Linked DNA regions of Canis lupus familiaris. The protein of the gene in region 1 interacts with the protein of each later gene in a pairwise test. Links are inferred from orthologs where the notes say so. Each region holds a gene or a part of one and is shown in the gene's direction. Other genes may lie near its edges.

What was found.
Region 2: the proteins of APPL2 (region 1) and CRADD interact in binary tests that used the Homo sapiens proteins (3 or more experiments, as listed by UniProt). The two-hybrid records come from large-scale screens. The link is inferred for Canis lupus familiaris from reciprocal best matches to the Homo sapiens genes APPL2 and CRADD.
Region 3: the proteins of APPL2 (region 1) and RAB5C interact in binary tests that used the Homo sapiens proteins (3 or more experiments, as listed by UniProt). The two-hybrid records come from large-scale screens. The link is inferred for Canis lupus familiaris from reciprocal best matches to the Homo sapiens genes APPL2 and RAB5C.
Region 4: the proteins of APPL2 (region 1) and SUV39H2 interact in binary tests that used the Homo sapiens proteins (3 or more experiments, as listed by UniProt). The link is inferred for Canis lupus familiaris from reciprocal best matches to the Homo sapiens genes APPL2 and SUV39H2.
Region 5: the proteins of APPL2 (region 1) and RAB22A interact in binary tests that used the Homo sapiens proteins (3 or more experiments, as listed by UniProt). The two-hybrid records come from large-scale screens. The link is inferred for Canis lupus familiaris from reciprocal best matches to the Homo sapiens genes APPL2 and RAB22A.

The regions. Positions count from the first base shown.
Region 1 is NC_049231.1:34,245,003-34,249,126, forward strand, and holds the start of APPL2 (DCC-interacting protein 13-beta), read left to right. Parts: upstream 1-1,324; 5' UTR 1,325-1,452; coding exon 1,453-1,506; intron 1,507-4,124. UniProt on the Homo sapiens protein: Multifunctional adapter protein that binds to various membrane receptors, nuclear factors and signaling proteins to regulate many processes, such as cell proliferation, immune response, endosomal trafficking and cell metabolism.
Region 2 is NC_049236.1:34,343,222-34,347,484, forward strand, and holds the end of CRADD (death domain-containing protein CRADD), read left to right. Parts: intron 1-3,146; coding exon 3,147-3,448; 3' UTR 3,449-3,754; downstream 3,755-4,263. UniProt on the Homo sapiens protein: Adapter protein that associates with PIDD1 and the caspase CASP2 to form the PIDDosome, a complex that activates CASP2 and triggers apoptosis.
Region 3 is NC_049230.1:20,627,586-20,631,556, forward strand, and holds the start of RAB5C (ras-related protein Rab-5C), read left to right. Parts: upstream 1-1,168; 5' UTR 1,169-1,181; intron 1,182-3,971. UniProt on the Homo sapiens protein: The small GTPases Rab are key regulators of intracellular membrane trafficking, from the formation of transport vesicles to their fusion with membranes.
Region 4 is NC_049223.1:20,689,409-20,692,759, reverse strand, and holds the end of SUV39H2 (histone-lysine N-methyltransferase SUV39H2), read left to right. Parts: intron 1-232; coding exon 233-339; 3' UTR 340-2,840; downstream 2,841-3,351. UniProt on the Homo sapiens protein: Histone methyltransferase that specifically trimethylates 'Lys-9' of histone H3 using monomethylated H3 'Lys-9' as substrate.
Region 5 is NC_049245.1:43,854,585-43,858,572, forward strand, and holds the start of RAB22A (ras-related protein Rab-22A), read left to right. Parts: upstream 1-1,186; 5' UTR 1,187-1,206; coding exon 1,207-1,242; intron 1,243-2,202; coding exon 2,203-2,282; intron 2,283-3,988. UniProt on the Homo sapiens protein: Plays a role in endocytosis and intracellular protein transport. Mediates trafficking of TF from early endosomes to recycling endosomes. Required for NGF-mediated endocytosis of NTRK1, and subsequent neurite outgrowth.

The DNA.
Region 1 (4,124 bases):
AGAGAATATAGTAGGGAAAAGGATGCTGGATGATTTTCCTATGGAGGCCATACGATGGCTCAGGAAAGGCTGGTGCTGGCTACAGCCAACTGGGAATAATGGCCCTGGAGTCTCCAAGTGACCAGGCAGCCTGCCATCAGAATTTCAGAGGTGTTTGGAACTCAGCCTGTACCTTAAACACCTCGGTGTTTCTATAGCATCTAATGTTATCCTATCCTGCCTGTTGATTCTGCTAATGTGTTCTACTGGATAAAATTTTTTTTTTTAAGATTTTATTTATTCATGAGAGACATAGAGAGAGGCAGAGATACAGGCAGAGGGAGAAGCAGGTTCTCCGCAGGAAAGCCCGATGAGGGACTCCATCCCAGGACCTTGAGCCAAAGGAAGACGCCCAACCCCTGAGCCTCCCAGACGCCCCTCTACTGGATGAATCTTACGGATTCCTAAGGAAGGGGCTTCTGAACCCCTGCCTTTGATATAAGAAGACCTCACGGTCCATTTGCAGGTACTCCCCCAGGGCTCCCCCCTCCTCCCTCCTCTTCCTCCACCTTTCCTTGTGTGACCCTGACCAAGTCCCTCACTCTGGGGGCCGTTTTCTTACCTCTAAATGAGAACAACTGAACTAGATGATGGATGCCTTCCAGCTCTAAACAGCAGCTTGATCAATTTTCCAAATGAGAAAACACAGCCAACCCTGAGGACGAGGTCCGATTCTACCGCTCCAATCCTAGAGCTCTGGTTTCCACAATGCCTACATCGGAAGAACGGCGCACGCAGGTGATTCAACTATCCTTTTTTATTTTTCCTCCTCTACAATTAGGTGACCTCTGCGCTGCGAGAGGTCACGGGGCACTGGGATTTATCTAGAAAAGGTGGTGTGGCAAGTGCCGGCTCTTCCCTCCCGTTCAGGAAGTGGCGAGGGTCACAGCGGCAAACACCTGTTCGCCCCTAAGTCCTTCCAATCGAAAGTCTCCCGAGTAGGTGCCAAGTAGATAAAACCTTATCGTTCCGCCCTCGAGTTCCCCGTTTGGGGCTTTAATAAGCCGCGACCAGCGCCACGCACCCGACTACGTCGCTGAACACCTTGACACCTCCCGCGACCCCTGAACCGCGAGGCCGGCGCTAGGCTCGGCCGGGTCCCGCGAGGCGCGGTGCGGCGCGGCGGAAGCGAGGCCGCCACACTTCCGGCGGCGCGGCCGCGCGCTCGCCACACTTCCTGTTGATCCGGCTCCGCGGAGGGCTGGGCGGGGGAGGGGGCGGGCCGGGGGCGGGGAGGGGGCGGGCCGGGGGCGGGCCGGGGGCGGGCCGGGGCGCGGGAGGCGGCCTCTGGCCAGGCGTGGGCGCGCGCGGGGCCGCGGCAGGCACGGAGCGTCTGCCTCGTAGCTTCATTCCGGAGCACCCTTGGCGGCCGCGCGTCCCGCACTCCGTCCTTCTGTCCGGCCCCGCGCCGCCATGCCCGCCGTGGACAAGCTCCTGCTGGAGGAGGCGTTGCAGGACAGCCCCCAGGTACCTCCCGCCGCCCCGGTGCTCTCGCCCGGCGGGGACTGGAGGCCGGGGCGGCCCCTCGAGCCCGGGGGTGGAGGCCGGGAGCACGCAGGGGGCCGCCCGGGGGCCGGGAGGGGGCACCCCTCAGGCGGGGCTAGAGAACCCGAGAAAGCCCTCCGCCGCCCGAGTCTTTGTGCCGTGACCCCCTTCGGAGTCAGCCGACACTGACGCTGCCCGGCCTAAACTCCGGCTCCACCGCTCCGCTGAGTGCCTCGGACAAATGACCTTTGTGTGCCGCAGTTTTGTCATCGGTAACCCGGGGACAATAATTGTACCCGCCTCATGGAGTTGTCAGGATGCCAGTAAAGTTGTTGGCGGGCACCGTCCTGTATGGAAGTTGTCATCGTTAGTATTATTACTGCTGCTACTGATGCGATGGGTCCTAGTGGGTTTAGGGCCAAGATGGGAGGCAGAGAGCCCAGCTCTTTCCCAGCGGGACCCTTCCGCACGCTTTTCCTGTTTTGTCAAGAGAATATGACAGCACCTGCCCCGCTGTCGCACGGAGGGATTTCACTAGCGAGACCAAAGTTAAGTCCCTTCGAGCTCTGCAGATGAGAGCTGCCGTGTAAATGTAGCGGATGAGTGCTGAATGACATTAGTTCATAATTCAATGCCCTTCTCTTCAGGGAACTTCTGTTCGCCATTAGCATTTCCCCGGCTTTGGCTTCCTATCAGCTCTCCTGGTTCTGTATCCCTGGGTTATTCATAAGTCTTTTTAGCCCGCGATGTCTCAACTCTTCAGAAATTCAAATGAGATTAACCTGTTTTCCATCTCTATTCGGTTCCTTTTTCTTAGCAAATTGCACTCCCGGGAGGAATGTATTTTATTTTCTTTAAGATTTTATGTATGTGTTCGACCTGGAGAGAAGAGCAGAGTAGGAGGAGTGGCAGAGGGAGAAGCTGACTCCCGCCGGGCAGGGAGCGGGAGGGGTCTGGATCCCAGGACACCAAGATCATGACCTGAGCCAAAGGCAGACTCTTAACCAGCTGAGCCACCCAGGTGCACCTAGGATGATTTTTTGATGGACTTACCTACACTCACTTTGCATCTTGCTGGTTCAGAATAAGTGTCAGAGCACTGTGTGCTTCGTTGCCTTGTGCCCATTTCTTTGTGATCTTAGGTAGGCAAGTAAGAAACTTGAGCAAGCTGTGGCTTTTTTTTTTTTTCTTTTTCTAATTGGCATCCGCTGGTCTGATCGACTTTTTAAAGACCTCTTTGAAGGCTCTAAACTTGTGGCATTTTAATGGGACCGAAGCCCTTTGGAGAAGTATTTTTGTCTGTACCTCACACATTATGTGAGATATGAAGATAATAATGTAGAACTTCTAACGATAACATTTTGAACGAGGATTTCCGTTTGCTTTACAGTCCAAAAGTGCAGATATATTGCTTTCCTAACTGATCGTGGTGTTGGCCGAGCCAGGTCAGAGAGAAAACACTGATTCTTCTATGCTGCCCTCGCTGATAGGTCACATTCTGCATTTCTGACTCTCATATAAGTGCATATGTACCATTTTTCTGAGTGGTTTGCAGGGTTTTCTCAGCTGGGAGGAAGCAGAGGACTGGCAAACAAGTCAGGAAAACTGCATCCTAATTCTTGCTCATGTCAACCTACCATGTCATTGGGGCAAGTCGCTTATTCTCATTCTGTGGCTGACTCAGTTTTCTCATTTACAGAATGAGGGATGTGGAACAGGTGATTTATAAGGAGCTTTAAAAGCTTAAAATTCTATCATATTGCATGATTTATAACTTTGAGCTCATAAGTGGAAGAGGAAGTTTAGTGGCATTGCCATTCCTGTATAATGTTCCTCTTAATGTAGGGAATTTGTTACTGCTGTTGGGACTTGGTGTCACTCTACTAGGATTTTTCATAGGTTGTTCAGAGGAAGCTAACTTTCAAGAAGTTCTTTGATAATCATCAGAACGTGTTTATTTAGCAGTCTTATATGGGGGGTGTGCCTAAAGCGGCCTTATTGCTGAGGAGACTCATAGATTAGGAAGTGGAGAAAAGCAGATCTAATTCCTTTTATGTGTACAGAATAAAAACAACAGCAAACACCTATATCACACATGCATTTTATGTACCAGGCATTATTCTAAATCCTTTACCTGTATTAGCTCACCTAATATTCCCATCAATCTTTTGAAGTAGGTCTCCTATTAAAATTACCAAGAAGCAGAGAAGTTGAATAGCCAGCCCAAGATTATACACCAGACAGTGGCAGAGCCAGGATTGGAACCCAGGCAGTCTGCCTATTTTGTTCAAGTTGGCCCAGCTACCTGGCACCTGACCCTTCTATCATTGGGGACCTAAAATGTTTCACTGAAAGGAAAAGATCCTAAGAAACCATCTATTGTTTGTTTCTTCTAGTTTTATGAAGAGTAGTTATGAGGGTTGCTGCAGCAACCTGCACATGATTCATTAAGTGAACACAAAAGCTTTTGTAATTGAACTCAATGACCCAAGAAGAACTGAATAGCAGTTGACCGCCCTTAGACACATCTATTCATTTCATCCTTTTTAGTACTGCATGGTGTGTCGAAGACTAGTCTGTGCATACACATATTATTTCTG
Region 2 (4,263 bases), on another chromosome or scaffold:
TCCAGTAGGATATTCTTTCCTGCTTTGTTGAATATTAGTTGACCATAGAGTTGAGGGTCCGTTTCTGGGTTCTCTATTCTGTTCCATTGATCTATGTGTCTCTTTTTGTGCCAGTACCATACTGTCTTTATGATCACAGGTTTGTATAAGACTGAATAATATTCTAATGTATAGTATACCACATTTTGTTTCTCTTCCATCCCTTGATAGACACCTGGGTTGCTTCCACTTTTTGGCTACTGGAAATAGTGCTGCTATGAAGATGGGTATAGAAATATCTCTTTGAATCACTGCTTCAATCCTTTTGGGTATATGGCCCAGAAGTAGAATTGCTAGGTCATATGATAATTCCATTTTTAGTTGTTTGAGGAGTCACCATACTCTTCTGTAGCAGCCATGCCATTTTATATCCTCACCAACACCTGTTATTTTCTGGAGTTTTTTGACAGTAGCCATCCTAATAGATCTGAGTTGGAATGGGAGTTTTAAAAGATAGACTGAAGAGGGGTGCCAGCGTGGCCCAGTTGGTAAGCATCTGACTATTGATTTTGGTTCAGGTCATGATCTCAAGGTTGTGAGATCAAGCCACATTGGGCTCTGTGCTCAGAGGGAGTCAGCTTGGGATTCTCTCCGTCTCCCGCTGCCCCTCCTGCTCTCTCTAAAAAAATAAATGAATAAATCTTAAAAAAAAAGATTGAAGAGCCAAGAAAAGAATTTGAGGGAAACAAAACCCTTATAATATGAGATTTGACCAGGAAAAAAAAAAAAAAACAGCATAAGCATAACCATCAAATGAATAGAAAAAGGCATGAGATGATCACAGGAAAGGAGTAAAGTAATAAAGCAGAAAATGATAGTCATGGTGATGGGGAAAGGCATCCAGCATCTGGAACAGAAAAAGAATGCAGAAATACAACCCAGGAAAATTTTTCTGAAAGAGAGGAAGAGCTAAGTCTTTGGTCAGAAGATCATCTTGAAAACAGATAGAGAATGACCAAGACCTATCCTGATCTAAAGCTTTCTCTCTCCCCTTCTCTGCCTCCTGCCCCCTGCTCGCATGCATGCATTCTCTTCTTGCTAAAAAAACAGACAAACAAAAATGATATAGGCAAGAAAAATCATGAGATACGAGGAAAGGAAGAGGAAATGTCAAGTGTTAATTATAGAGTGTTAATGTGAAAATACATGGTTTATGTCTTAAATTTTCATATATTTTTTATTGGCATTAAATCGTGTGTGTGTGTGCGTGTGTTTTGGTGGTGGTGTTTGAATATTTAACTATAGGTCAGAAAGCCATTTAGTACCCCATCTGTTTCTTTTTTTTTTTTCCTGTTATATTCAAACAAAATTAAATAACCCTTATGAGAAAAAAAGCAATTAATACAGAATACGTGCATGAAGAGATGTCCAGAATGATATTCACCGACTCTAAGTACATATTGGATAACTTGTTTTTTCTTTTGTACTTTTTTATGTTGCTTGAATTTTTTAATGAACCTGCATAAAAGTGCCCATATTTTTATACAAGCCATAAAATCATTACTGTCAATATAAAATATTGGTCAGTAGTAGCATCATTATTTCAGTTGTTTCCTAATCATTTTTTAAAAATTACAGTCTTGACAAACACCAGAAAGAACCCTTGTCAGTATTTTTTAAACTTGTGCCTAAGATATTTGCAACTGCTTTGGGATAAAAGGCACGTACAGTGAAAACAGCTATTCCGATCGGGTGCTTTTTGCCTTCTTATTGAATTCATAAGTCTAAACAATGAGCTGCTGAGTGTGAAGTGGGATTGACGCGGATTCCCATGATGCTGGTGACAGAGAATGTAGCACAAGTGTAGTGCTGTTGTACACATGACTGTACCAGGAGTATGAAAACCTCACTTCTAGTTCTGGCCTAACCAATAAGCAGCACCAGAATTTTGAATGTTTAGCGTCCTTCTCAATCTCTGCACTTTTGCTACACTGAACTTCTTTAAAAAAAAAAAAAAAAAGATTTTATTTATTCACGAGAGAGAGAGAAAGAGAGAGAGAGAGAGACAGACAGAGAGAGAGAGGCGGAGACACAGGCAGAGGGAGAAGCAGGCTCCGTGCAGGGAGCCCGATGTGGATCTCGATCCGGGGACTCCAGGATCACGCCCTGGGCTGAAGGCAGGCGCTAAACTGCAGAGCCACCCAGGGATCCCTGAACTTCTTTCTTTTCTTGAATTTGCTGTGATCTTCTGCTTCCAGGCCTTTGCACAGGCAATTTCCTTTGCTGAGGGCATGCTTCCTTACCTTTCCATTCATTGGATTCTTTCTCACATTCAGGGTTTAGCTTTAACCTCCTTCCTCTAGAAGGCTGTCTGCATTGTAACTGATGGTACTTCTTACTGGATATGCCTGGCACATCTGTAGGCAGTCACTCAGTGTCATGGTTCCTCAGCAGACTGGCCTCGGGGAGACTGGGATCTAGAAAGTGCAAGGTCAGGTTCCCTCATTGCCCTTCTACAGCATGTGCTGTCTCTCCCTTTGCTGGGCCCAGGGTGGTAACTCTCATCCTGCTACCTCATGGCCTCTGAGTTTCATTTTTTCTCATCAGGCCTCTTTGGTTCTGCTTCTGTTAGAGACTGCAGCATTTCTTGGTAATGTTCGAGTTTATCAGCAGAGAGTAGCTGTCCTGGTTAGCCCATTATCTTCCAGCACTAGCCATTCCTGCAGGAGAGAGCGCCACCCCAGTGCCAGAGGGAACTGGGGCCCAGGCTGTCATTCTTCATTCTCTTGGAACCCCCTGCCTGGCCTCTCTGTTGAAAGAGATGATAGTGAGAAAAGCATGTTATAAAGCTGTGCCATATAATGCCAAACATATGTTTTATACATAAAAGACAAAATCAAATTGTTATCACTAAGTTTCTCTTGTGGGGTTCCCAGTTATTTTTATTTTCTTGTTTTCACATTTTCTGTAATAAACATTTCCAAAGATGCTAAATGGTATTTTGTAAGCTCCTGTATGTGACCTTTTACTGAGCAGCCCCCAAGAAGACTAGGAAAAGTTGGCCCTACCATATGAAGCTTTGTGCTCTTCTCCCCACAATTTCCATTTCTGCCCCCATCTGATGTGTTTGTTTGCTCTTTTCACCCTCGTATCTTTCTTTTTCCCAGATGACTGGATGACTGGTTTCCCCCCGCACATCCTCAACAGCTCACCATCGGACCGGCAGATTAACCAGCTGGCCCAGAGGCTGGGCCCTGAGTGGGAGCCTGTGGTGCTGGCTCTGGGACTGTCCCAGACAGATATCTACCGCTGTAAGGCCAACCACCCCCACAACGTGCAGTCGCAGATGGTGGAGGCCTTCATCCGCTGGAGGCAGCGCTATGGGAAGCAGGCCACCTTCTGGAGCTTATACAGAGGCCTCCAGGCTGTGGAGGTAGACCCCTCGGTGCTCCAGGACATGTTGGAATGACCCCTGCATGCTCCACGTCATCCTGTGGTTGGGGGAGTGTGTCCCCAAGTTGTGTGTGCAGAATCTTAACTTTCTCCAAGGGCAGGTGGTTTGGGGGGGTTTTGGGGGTCTTTTCTTTTTAATGAACTTTAGATGAAAGGAGAAAATAGGATTTCTGGTATACATTACTTGAAAGGTCAGATTACTCAGTAGCTCTCCCACATTGACTTGACAATTCATTGTTTTTAACTGCTTAAAGATTGCATTGTTTTAATTGTGCAGGTTTTTAATTGTGTGGGTGCCTTTTAATAAACTGGTAAATCATAATGGCTCAAAAAAAATTACTGTGTTATCACATTACATGTAGGTGTCCTGTATATAAAGCATGCACTTCTATATTGCTTGGGAACTGACCTATGGATTTTGCTATTAATGGGGATGATCATAAAAAGTTAATTTGCTACATATAATATGGCCCTTTCGTCACATAGGATTGTTTGTTTTTTCTCATTCCTGTAGTGCATAGATTAAGAGTGTCAAATAACGTAGTTATTTTTTTGAAACAGAATTACTAGTAATAACAAAATGGTAGTGTCAAATAACGTAGTTATTTTTTTGAAACAGAATTACTAGTAATAACAAAATGGTTATTTTCTCTAGTTAAGATAAATTGCTCAGGCAGGGTGTCTACATTAAATTCAAGACAGTGAGGCTCCCTGCAAGACCAGTTCAAGTACCAGCATGCATACCTGAGCCCTTCATCTTTAAAAGATTGCTTAAGAAAATCCTGTGCCGTTTATTTAAAGAATTTATTTGGGGAACAAAGGAGGATGTGG
Region 3 (3,971 bases), on another chromosome or scaffold:
TGTTCCAGGGAGTGGGACACAAAGGCAGAGGAGATACCGGTCTGTGTTGGGGGATGGGGGTGGGCGGAGACAAGAAGTGGTCCTAATCCACATTGAGGAAAGAAAAAAAAAAAGAAAGAAAGAAAAAAAGAAAGAAAGAAAAGAAAGAAAGAAAGAAAGAAGAAAGAAGAAAGAAAGAAAGAAAGAAAGAAAGAAAGAAAGAAGAAAGAAAGAAAGAAAGAAAGAAAGAAAGAAAGAAAGAAAGAAAGAAAGAAAGAAAGAAAGAAAGAAAGAAAGAAAGAAAGAAAGAAAGAAAGAAAGTCCTGATCCATACGGAGGTCACGGTGGGGGAGGCAAACAGAAGTCGTTCTAATCTGTGTTTATGGATGGAGAGAGAGTCAAAGCAGAAGTGGTCCGGCTCTGTTTCTGGCAACAGAGACATGAGCTGATTCTGGCTGGAGGTGTGGGAGGCAGAGGTAGAGGTGATCCTGGAGTCTTGGTGTCCGGCCAAAGGAGGAGGGTCCTGGTTTATGACTGACAAGTGGCAGGAGCTCTCCACACCTCGAGAACCCTTCCTATTAGCACTTCCATCACCTTCCCCATCGCAGAATGTCCCCAATAGTCGAGCTCCCGGAGCTGACTTGGCCTGAGAAAGTGCAGACAGGGGCTTCTCGGGTTTAGCCAGTGTTCAGGACTGCGGCCTCCTGTGCATTCATTCACACCATGTTTTTCCTTAACCAATTCTGCACACACAGCCTTCTGCCCTCTTCCAGCGCCCCACCACCCGCCTCCCCTCGGGGCTCCTGGAACCCAGGGTGACGCTGTTGGCAGCCCTGGCTTTAAGAAGTTCCCGGCCGAGCTCCGCCTCGCCGGCAGCCGGCTCCACCCTAAGCCTAAGTCCCAGGCGGCCACCGGCTCCTCCCAGCGCTGAGAACTACAAGTCCCGCCGTCCCTCGCGCGCGCTCTCCCGCCTCTCCCTTGCCCCCCAAAGGCGTCGCCGGTGAGTCGGCCAAGAGTGCCTCCCATTGGTCTCTCCACCTTGTCAGTCATCTGGTATTGAGGGGCGGGTCTGAGGTGGAGATCCGGATCCGGAGCGGCTGAAAGGCGGAAGTGGAGGCCGGAGCCTGGGACACCGCCGGGGGGAGAGGAGCGGAGCCTGTCCGAGCCCCGGCCCCAAGTAACGCCGCCGCCCCGGAGACGCCGTGAGTGTGCCTGTCCCGGGGCCTAGTGTCTCGCTCGCGTTGAGGCCGTTCGGGGCAACACTTCCTCCCGCCCAACCCCGGCTTAGGGGGATACTGACCCCTCCCCCGACCCGTAGCCCCCTCTTCAGGGGCTCCCCAGGCGTCGGGCCAAAGGGGGGGCCCTCCTTTCCTTCCCTTACCTGCCCTTTATGAGCCTTGGGAAGCCGCCAGGGTTCTCCTCTGGCCTGTCCAGTCCAGTTGTGGGAGGCAGAGACCACAGATTCTGCTCTCTCTGCTCCCAGAACTGGAGGAATCTTTGCTAGGTGTGAAGGAGTCGGTCTTCCTTCTCTATAGAGGCGGCGAGGAGTGCTGTCTGTCGCCGTTTTCCTCGCACCCCCCCCCCCCAACCGTCCCACAAAAACAGTTGTCTCCTCCAGCCCTAGAGAAATTTTATCTCGATTTCCTGGGGCGGGGTGGGGGCGGAGGGGTCCTGGGTGAGAGCCTTCCACACACACAGACTCCCACAACTCCTCACTTCCTCTCTTTCCTCAAGCCCAGGGAGCCAGCCAGGATCCCAGCAGGATTTAAAGTCTAGGCCACTTTTTAGGAATGAGCTGTTGCCTCCTTATCTTGCCCCCTCCACCCCAACTCTGTCCTCTGGTTATGTTGTTCTCTAGTTGTGCTCTCTGAGTGTATCTATCTCTCTTCCTGCCTCTGAAAAATTTAGCTGAGGTTTGCTTAATCCTAGCTACAGATCACAGATCATGGTGGATCTGCCCATTCATTATCTTCTCTCTCCCCTCCTCTCCCCCTCCCCCTTGCTCCAGGCTCAGCCCTGTCCTCCCAGAGCACGTGAGTGGTTTCCAAGCTGCTTCAGAGGGACTGCTCCTCCTGGGACTGCTGTCTGCTGGTCTTTAGGGAATAGGGGAAAGACCAGAAATAAGGACTGTGGAAGTGAAGGGTCCTGGCCTATCTCATTCCCACTCTCAGACACACATACCCCTCTCCTTGATCAACAGGTCTCTGCCACTTCTAGTCCCAGGGCCTCTCTCCAGTCCCTTCCGGGAGGCTTGAACAGATTATAGATTACAGAGAAGTGAATTGAGACCACAGTGGCACCTCTGGGTTCTTAATGTGTTAATTTTTGTAGCCCAAGGAATTCTCATGTATGCTGGAAAGTGCTGACATCCGCCCCGCCCGCGCCCCCTGCCCCCCCTCCAGCCTTTCCAAGAGGCAGCCTGTGCTGACATCTGATCCTTGTCTGTTGCTTGGGACTTAGGTGTGTGAAATGGCTGTTGTCTCAGACCAGGTTCGCAGGTTTTGTTATGTGGCCAAAGTACAGGCCAGAGACTATACCTTAATGAGAGTAGCCTGACTCTTTGAGGCCATGACTGACCCTTGCTATCTACAGCCAAGGGAGGGAGGAGAGGCCATGCAGCCTTTGGGAATTTCAGTAGCTCTTCAGTGTTTCGGGCCATCTTTACTGTCCTTACAGGTGCTAAACATTTTTTGTCTTGGGATCTTTTTGACTTCTTGTGGACAGTCACCAGGGTCCAACTCCTACAAACTTTTGAGCTAGACCTGGGTTGTACTCATTTCATTTTTTATTGGACAACAAGAAAGCCTACCTTATTAGGATCAGTGGTTGGATCACAAGCTCTCTATCTGTGTGGTCTTCTTTGGAAAGTCGTTGGAGACTTCTGCGGCCAGCTTAGTTTCTCTAATCTGGTCAGCCTGTGCCTCTGAGGGACAGACCAGAGAAGCCTCTCTGCTCACTGGCCACTGGTCTCTGACCAGACTTACCTCCTCGGTAGTGGGCTGTGGTTTCTGGAACTCTTTGGGAGTCCCAGGATGAGGCTGCCAGCCTTCTGAGGGGACCGTCTTTGTCTGGACATGCTCTCCCAGCTAGGATTCTAAAACAGGTTTTTTGAAGGAGAAGCTCTTGTTTTCAGAGAGACATGGAAGGCATCATTGCCCCGGTAGTTAGGTAGTTAGGCTGCCACTTCTGGCATCCAGAGATTGTAGAGTCCAAGCAGAGCTCTGATGTTACTTGGCAGAAAGAGGGAGGGCTCTGTGTGAGACAGAAGCCTCTCCTCTCTTGCCTCTTCCAACTAGTTGGCCTTTTCCTGCCTTCATACAACAGAGAGGTGGTAACAACTGATTTTTAGAAATCACTTTAAAGTTGCAGTTTTTTTCTTTTAAAGATTGTATTTATTCATGAGAGGCGGGGCAGGGTGGGGGAGGCAGAGACAGGGAGAAGCAGGCTCCCCTCAGAGCAGAGAGCCTGGTGTGGGACTCTATGCCAGGACCCCGGGATCACGACCTGAGCCAAGGCAGAGGCTGAACCTGACTGACCCACCTGGGCAGCCAAAGTTGCAGTTTTTTCACACATGTTTCTCACAGGAAACAATATTATATTTTCACACCTGTTCCTCACAAGAGTCCTGGGAGATAGTGGGATTTGTATCTCCGTTTTAGAGATGAGGCTGAAGGAATTTAAGTAGCTAGCCTTAGATCATCCAGTTAGAAAGTGGTGGAGTTGAGGTTTGGGATTTGGGATTTGATGTGCCTCATCTTCCCTAAGAGTGGTCCCTTCTTGGGTCTGTTTAAGGAATGAGCATGCAAAGTGAGCAAGCAGAGGCCCCAGTGCAGAGACCCTTAAGCATCCCTCATCCTTGATGCCCCTCTGCTTCCATTTACTTCCCCACCCCCACTCTGTCCTGCCATCATCCTGGATCCCCATCTCCTCTGCCTCTGGGGACCATGGCAGTTAGGAGTCCCAGCTCAGTACTCTTCAGGGCCTGACAATTG
Region 4 (3,351 bases), on another chromosome or scaffold:
GAGTGATTATGTATTGGATTTTTCCCAGTAAGTTCCATCATTTCCAAGCTAGTCTTATTAATATGGGCTAATAGCATATGTGTTTATCTCTTACTAGCTCACACCATCCTTTCAAAAGATAATTCATAATGATTTGTCTCTGAATATTCACATTTACTTAAAACTGATAGAAAATTTGAACTTCCTTCTGAATTGTCTTAACTCTTCTGTATTTCTTTTTCTATGTGATCAGGTTCTGGAGATATATCTTCAGATTCTGTTGACCACAGCCCAGCCAAAAAGAGGGTCAGAACTGTGTGCAAGTGTGGAGCTGTGACTTGCAGAGGTTACCTCAACTGAATTTTCAGGAAATAGAGCTGACAATTGTAGTTTTGTTTTTTTTTAATGTTAACATTTCAAAAAAGTATTTGGGACTCTTTTCAGATTGTCAAGATTATATGCTATGTTAATTACAGTTCATGTTTCAAACTATTGGCCAAATGTATTAGTGATGCTTCTGAAGAGAAGAACACAGGGTCACATAGACTAATTTGAGATATACATATTTAGTGATTAGATACTAAACATGAAGGGAAAACTATTTATAGATGAGCATATGCATACATAAAAAGACTAGAGAAAAATGCCTCCTTCAGTGTTTAAGCAAACTAGTAGTGTAAGTCACTAAGATCAAATATTCAACCTGCCATACACCTTGAATTTAGAGAGTTAATTCAATTTGGGCAAATATATACAAGTGCTATTTCTGTTATGTTGTCATTCCCATTATTACTCACTGTACTTGTATTTGAGACAAACAGGTGATACTGAATTATTCTATTTTCCTACTTTCATCAAAATACTGGATTTTAATGATAAATTTAAGGTCTAAATTAAATATAAAAGTTTAAATACAGTTTGATTTCATATTTTGAAACAATCTAGACTGTTCTGAGGCATGTATATCTGAACCAGTAATTCTTAAAGATTTTTAATCCCTTAAAGGAATAATTTCCAAAAAAAGCTCTAAAATTCTAGAATGGCTGCCCATTATGCTGCTTTGAAGGATGGGGGCAGTGGGACCAGGAGAGTTTTGGGGAGTGCCAGGCAGAGGAAATGGAGCACTTTAAGGGCCCCTCTTAGTAACGTAAATTAAGAGATCCATGTTGAGTACTTCTGGTCTAAACATAAATAATAAAACAAGATAGCCCTGAGTGCAGTTGTACCTAACAATAATGTTTCATATGATACATCTTCTGAATTTCAGGCAGTTTTAACATTTCCACCAAACTTAATTATTTTTATATTTTCTGCAGTCTCTTAAAATAATCTATATTTTGAACTGATACTTATTTTTTATACATGAATTTTTAAAATATGATAAAGCTAAAACTTGGGTTGGACAAAGTGTGTACCTGAGTTATGAGAACTTTTTTTACTTGAACCATGAAGACTGAAATGGAATATATTCCTTGTTTGGTTTTTGTTTTGTTTTCCTGCATAGTAAAACATCAATCAGGAAAAAATGTGTTTTCATTTCTGTGATTGTGGGATTTGTAATCATGGTGTCCAGCATGAAGGTAAACGCAGCAAGTAAATCTGGCTTTCAGTATTCCTAATTAAATTATACCTAAGCTCATTGCCCTGTTGCTTTAATGACCCTAAAATAAGTGGGTAAAATTGAATGGACCTCAAATGCAGCACTTCCAATATCTTCTAAATTCTTAACCTCTTTTTTGGGAGAAGCTGTGTTTCTTTATGCATTATATTTTTATAGCTACCACATGATTTTGCTCTTTTATAATATACGGTAAATTTTTTTTACATGTTTGGAGTCTCAGTGTATTAACCAAAATCTGCAGAAGGTGTCAAGGAAAAATACATTTTTTTTTTTAGTGCCATTTCTTAGTGTTTTTTTAATGAGAAATTAGTCACATGGTTTCAGTGGTGAGAACATCACAGATTTATAATGCTCCAATGGCCAAGCTTACTTTGAATTATAATTCTTCAACAGGTTTAAAGATATAATTTTAATATTCTTCTTAAAAAGTCAGTTGTACTATCCAGTTAATCTTGTCTACTTTTTGTGGTTAAAAAAAATGTAAAACAGGAGGGCAAAGGGAAAATGGCTATTTTCAGTAAATTTGTTTCATTTTGTCTTTATTACTAGAAATTTAATGGATCTTTGAGATTTTAATGACCTGTTACCCTTACTTTATTAAAAAGTTGGACTTAGTAAACTAGAAACCCTCTACATGAAACTGTTAGAAGCTTTTAACTATTTTGTCAACATTTAGCTTCTTTAGTTTTGTCAGAATTTGTCCCTTCAGTATAAGTATAGCCAAAATTCAAGGGTAATATTTAGATCAAGTTTAAACTGTAAATTAATCCAGTCTGAGTTTTACTAATACCGTTGTTTTCAGTATCTATATAAGGATCGCGATACACAATTGGTAATCTCAGGGTCTTTTCCCTCTATGTGCAAAATCTAGACTGCACTTATTTTTCTTACAGTTCACTTTTCTTTAGCCAAATAAATTTAGTTTGGCATTTGATTTTCTATTTATTGTAGGTTAGCTTTGTTTCTGAATATTTTACTGTCTTTTCCAGTAAGGCTACAAAAGGGCCAAAAACACCAGTATATTCCTGCCTACTTCTTTTGAAATTAACCAGAGGTTTTTATACTATTCCCTTAAATGTTATTTGCCTTTTAAGAAGTTTGTCAGTCATGGTTGATCCATTTAAATATTAGAGTAGAATTTTACATAGCATAAAATGGATATGGATAGATACTTGTAAAATTTTTTGAGTATTATTAGTCACCAGGAAATTTAACATAAAGCTTCCATTCTTTGAGCAAGTCTTAGGCTCTTTATATGTGCTCTTGTGCTTCTCCTAAGCCTGTGAGTCTGGTGCTCTTGGCCCTATAGCACAGCAAAGGAAAGGGTCTAGACGGGTAGATAAGATTAACACACCCATAGATCACCCAGCTTGGGGCCAGTAACACCTGACTATAATGCACTCAATTTTATACTTTTAGTTTCAACAAACATGTAACTCTTGGATTCCTAAGGCAAATGTGGCTAGCATCTGGGCTGTATCTTGGCATTTTGAAACTTTTTTTCACTTATTCTTTTATACTTTACAGTTCTTAAAGTAAAAATCAAGTAGTCACTATAATTAATCCTGCTTCCTCCTGTGCTCTTTTTGAGAGGCATTATTGCATGGTGGCTAAGAGCATGGACTCTGGAGCTTGAGTTGCCAGCATTTTCATTCCTGGCTTTACCCCCTCCCGGCTGTGTGAACTAACCTCTCTGTGCCTTAGCCTCATTTTTGAATGGGGAGAATAATTTCTCTACCTCAAAGGGTGGT
Region 5 (3,988 bases), on another chromosome or scaffold:
GAGTCCACACAGGGCCCGCACCTCCAGACCCCGGAACGCCCTGGGGAAACGCGGAGAGCCCGGGTGGAAGTCTCCCCAACCCCGCGGCGGCCGCGGAGCCACCACCAGGCCCCGGGACGACCCTCCCGCCCCTCCCGACCCCCCGGGGGCCGCGGCCGGAGCACGACGAGGAAGAGACACAAAGTGACCGGAAGTCAGAAGTTTCCCAACGACCCAGATCCTCCCGGAGAAGGGGAGGAGGGGAGGAGGGGAGGGCTCCCCATCCCCGGCCCGCCCCGCCCCGCGAGGAGGCACCGCCACAAGTGCATCCTCCGGGCGGTCGGGGTCCCGCTCCTCGGTCCCGACAGGAGGGGCCTGGCCCGCAGCCGCCCCCGCCCGCAGCGTTCCGCGCACCCCGAGCCCCGTGAGAGGTTCCCGGGGAGGGGCGGGGGCCCCCCAACTGCTACTTACAATCGTCTAAGTCATCGTGCAAGTCCACAAAGTACAGGGGGATCTCTGAAAACCGAGAAACACACAGGAGTTACACACAAGGAGGGGGCCGCGGCCTCGACGGGGGGCCCCCGCCCCCTCCGACCCCCCCTCCCCGCTCCCCCGCCCCTGCGCCCCGGGAGCCAACCCCACTCACCCGCCATCTTGGGATGGGCCAGGAGGCGGGGTCCGCGCGGGGGGCGGGGCCCGTGGGGCGAGGGGGCGGGGCCTCGGGCTCCCAGCCCCGCCCCCCGGGCAGGCCCCTCCCCGCTCTCCCGCCCCTGCGCCCGGGGAGCCAACCCCACTCCCCCGCCATCTTGGGATGGGCCAGGAGGCGGGGTCCGCGCGGGGGGCGGGGCCGGCGGGCGAGGGGCGGGGCCTCCGGCCCTCGCCCCGCCCCCTCGGGCAGGCCCCGCCCCGCGAGCCTCGCGGCGAAGGTGGCTGCCGAGGTGGGCGGGGAGGTCAGGTGACCCGGCCAGCGTCCCAAGATGGCGGCGGCGGCGGCGGCGCCCGGGAGGCCGAGGCAGCGTCCCGGCTGCTGAGGCGGGCCCCTCGCGCGCGCGGCTGGCGACGGACGGGCCGGGCCGAGGGCTGGCGAGCGGGCAGCCGCCGCCTCTGCGCGCCCCGCGGCCGGGGCCGAGCCGTGCGGCGGCGGCGCCGGGGGATGCTCGTGCTGGGCCCGGCCTCTCCCTCCTCAACTTAGGGCGGCGGCGGGCCCGCGCCCCTGGCTCCCGGGCCATGGCGCTGAGGGAGCTCAAAGTGTGCCTGCTGGGGGTGAGTGGCGGCGGGCCGGCCGGGAGGGCCGCGGGAGGCCGGGCAGGCCGGGCAGGCCGGGGCCCCAGGCGCGCCCTCGTCCCCTGCGCCCCCTCCCCCGCCGCGGCCCGCGGGGCGGTCCTGCCACCTCGTCCCGGCCCTGCGGGGGGGACCCGACCCGCGGACGGCGAGGCCCCCGACGGCTTCCCGCCGGCGGGCTCGGTGCACGTTGGCCGAGTCGCCCCGAAGTGCGGCCCCGCCGCCGGTCTTCCTCGTGCGGCTTTTGCAAGCAGAGTTCGTCTCCTTTTCTCGTCTGTTCGGAGTTTGTGGGACACGCTCGGGGACGCTTCTCACTGAGTTACTTTCTCGGGGGGGGGGGGGCGGGGGGAGGGGCACGTTCAAATCAGGAAGCCCCCCCCCCCCAAAAAAAAAAAAAACGAGTTGGAAGCTTCAGCTTCCTGCCTCGACGGAGCATCTTGGCGCCCTCAGGTCACGCCCTGTGGAGTTGGGGCTCTTTTGCCTGAGTGGCTGCTTTAGAGGCCGAAAGGGATCCCAGTAACTAGTCCAGCACCAGCAGCACCAGCACCAACACCCCTTCCCAAGTAGGGCGGGGCTGTGACCCTATCAGGGATCGCTCGAGTAATTTCAGGAGTTCATAGTCTACCTCCACGTGTCAGAAAGTGAGTTTGTGGCTTTATCACGCCGAGCACAAACTTTGGGCTTCTCAAAAGGTTCTGGTGTCCCGGTAAAAACTGCAAGACATTCCCCGCCCCCACCCTCCCCGTCCTACAGTTAAGTACATCTCGAAACCCCCTCCCTCCCACTGAATGTTTACAAACACCCTGCGCCCCTTGACGTCCTGAAGACCCGCGCCCGAATTGATGTCTGCGAGATGCCGAGCGAGCCCAAGGCCCCGAAGCGGTGTTCTCCGTCTGCAAGCAGGTGAACTTATTTGTGTTTACCCGCCTCCTTCTTTTCCAGGATACGGGCGTAGGTAAATCGAGCATCGTGTGGCGGTTCGTGGAAGACAGTTTTGATCCAAACATCAACCCGACGATAGGGTAAGAGATTTAAGTTTATTGAGTCTGTCTCTGAAGGTGTCCCGGAAGCCCTTCCAAATTAAAAAAAAAAAAAAAAAAAAAAAAAAGGTGTGTTCCTGGGAGTGGGGAGGCATCGCCATTCTCAGTGCATTTCCCAGGCCCGCAGTTTCCTTTCCATCGTCCCTGGAAGGACTTGGAAGCGTGCAGTGGGGATTGATGTGTTTTGGGAAAGTCACCTTTTGATTGGTGAAGGGGAAACTTCAAAATAAAAATAGGAATGGAGGGGATCCCCGGGTGGATCAGCGGTTTGGCGCCTGCCTTTGGCCCAGGGCGCGATCCTGGAGTCCCGAGATCGAGTCCCACCAGGCTCTCGGCATGGAGCCTGCTTCTTCCTCCTGTGTCTCTGCCTCTCTCTCTCTCTATCATTAATTAATTAATTAGTTAATTAATTAATTTTAAAAAATAGGAATGGAAGCGCTGCTTAGTAGAACGTTGGTCAGTCCATAAATAAAAATACCAGCGGCAGTCACATCTTGAAACAAAGCAGAAGGTGACAGGTCCTGATACTGTTCTTGCAGGCATACCAACTAAAACGTTATTTAGATGGTTTTAGTTCCTCCTGAGAAACAGGACACATGTCAGACCGGGAGGGCCGGCAGACGGAGATGTGGATGCCCAGGACGGGGCTGAGGCCCTGTCACTGCTGCTACCTATCTGAACCCCTCTCATAACCTGCCTACACTAATAGTAATAGCGAATTAATAAATTAATGTTGAATTGTCAGCGTTTTCCAGGTGTCTGTTACTTTGGATATACGTGAAACTGGCTGTTGTAGGTTTTTCACTCAGAAAACTTCTCAGGGTATTTAGATACAGTAATATTAATGACTTACCTTGTGAGAAGTTGTGTTTTATAGGTTTTAATACTATGTTAGGCTTGCAAAATTAAATCGATGCTATGCTATTTTTTATTGCGCACCCCCCTCCAATCAAATGGTTTCTCCCATTTAAAGAAAAATCCAATTCTGCCCAGTACAGAAATGTTTTACGACATACGCATTCAAAGGCATGGGGATGAAACCCCTACTTACTAAATTTCTGAAATTAAAATGCCTTTTGATATCCTTCAAGAAAGAACTGGGTATGTGCACATGTTTAAAACGTGACCTCATCCGCCTCAGGGCCTGCCTGTTGCTACCTGCCTGGGAAAGAGAAGTGACAGGAAGTGATAGCAGGTAGTGCTGGTGACTCAGTGAGTAACACCTTTCACACTGGGTCTGAGCGGAAAACACAGCTCTGCAAGACGCAAACACCACTTTGGTTAAAAGCGCTCTCTCAGAGACAGCCAGAGGACAGGGAGGGGTCTAGCTCCGGTAGCAGTGAGGCTGACAGGCCCGCAGCCCTGTCTGGGGTGTCCATGCACCCATTTGCCAGCCCTCCCATTCTGACAGATGCTTATAGTTTCTCACCTGGAGTCCCACCCTCTTTGCCGGGTGTTCTTGGCTCACATTTCACAGGAAGGAGGAAGATGAGGTGTTCCCCGAGTTTCCTTCCACTTTTCCTTGTTCCTTTTTTCTCAGCCAAAGCGAGTGTGTTCCTCCTCTGTGCCTGACTCCTCACACACCTGAGCTCTGGAGGGCCCTCCTCACCAGTTCTCCCTTTCTTCCCCTGCCTTGCTTTCTTGTCACCGCCTACAAACATGCTCCACTTTTACCTGCCTTACTAAAA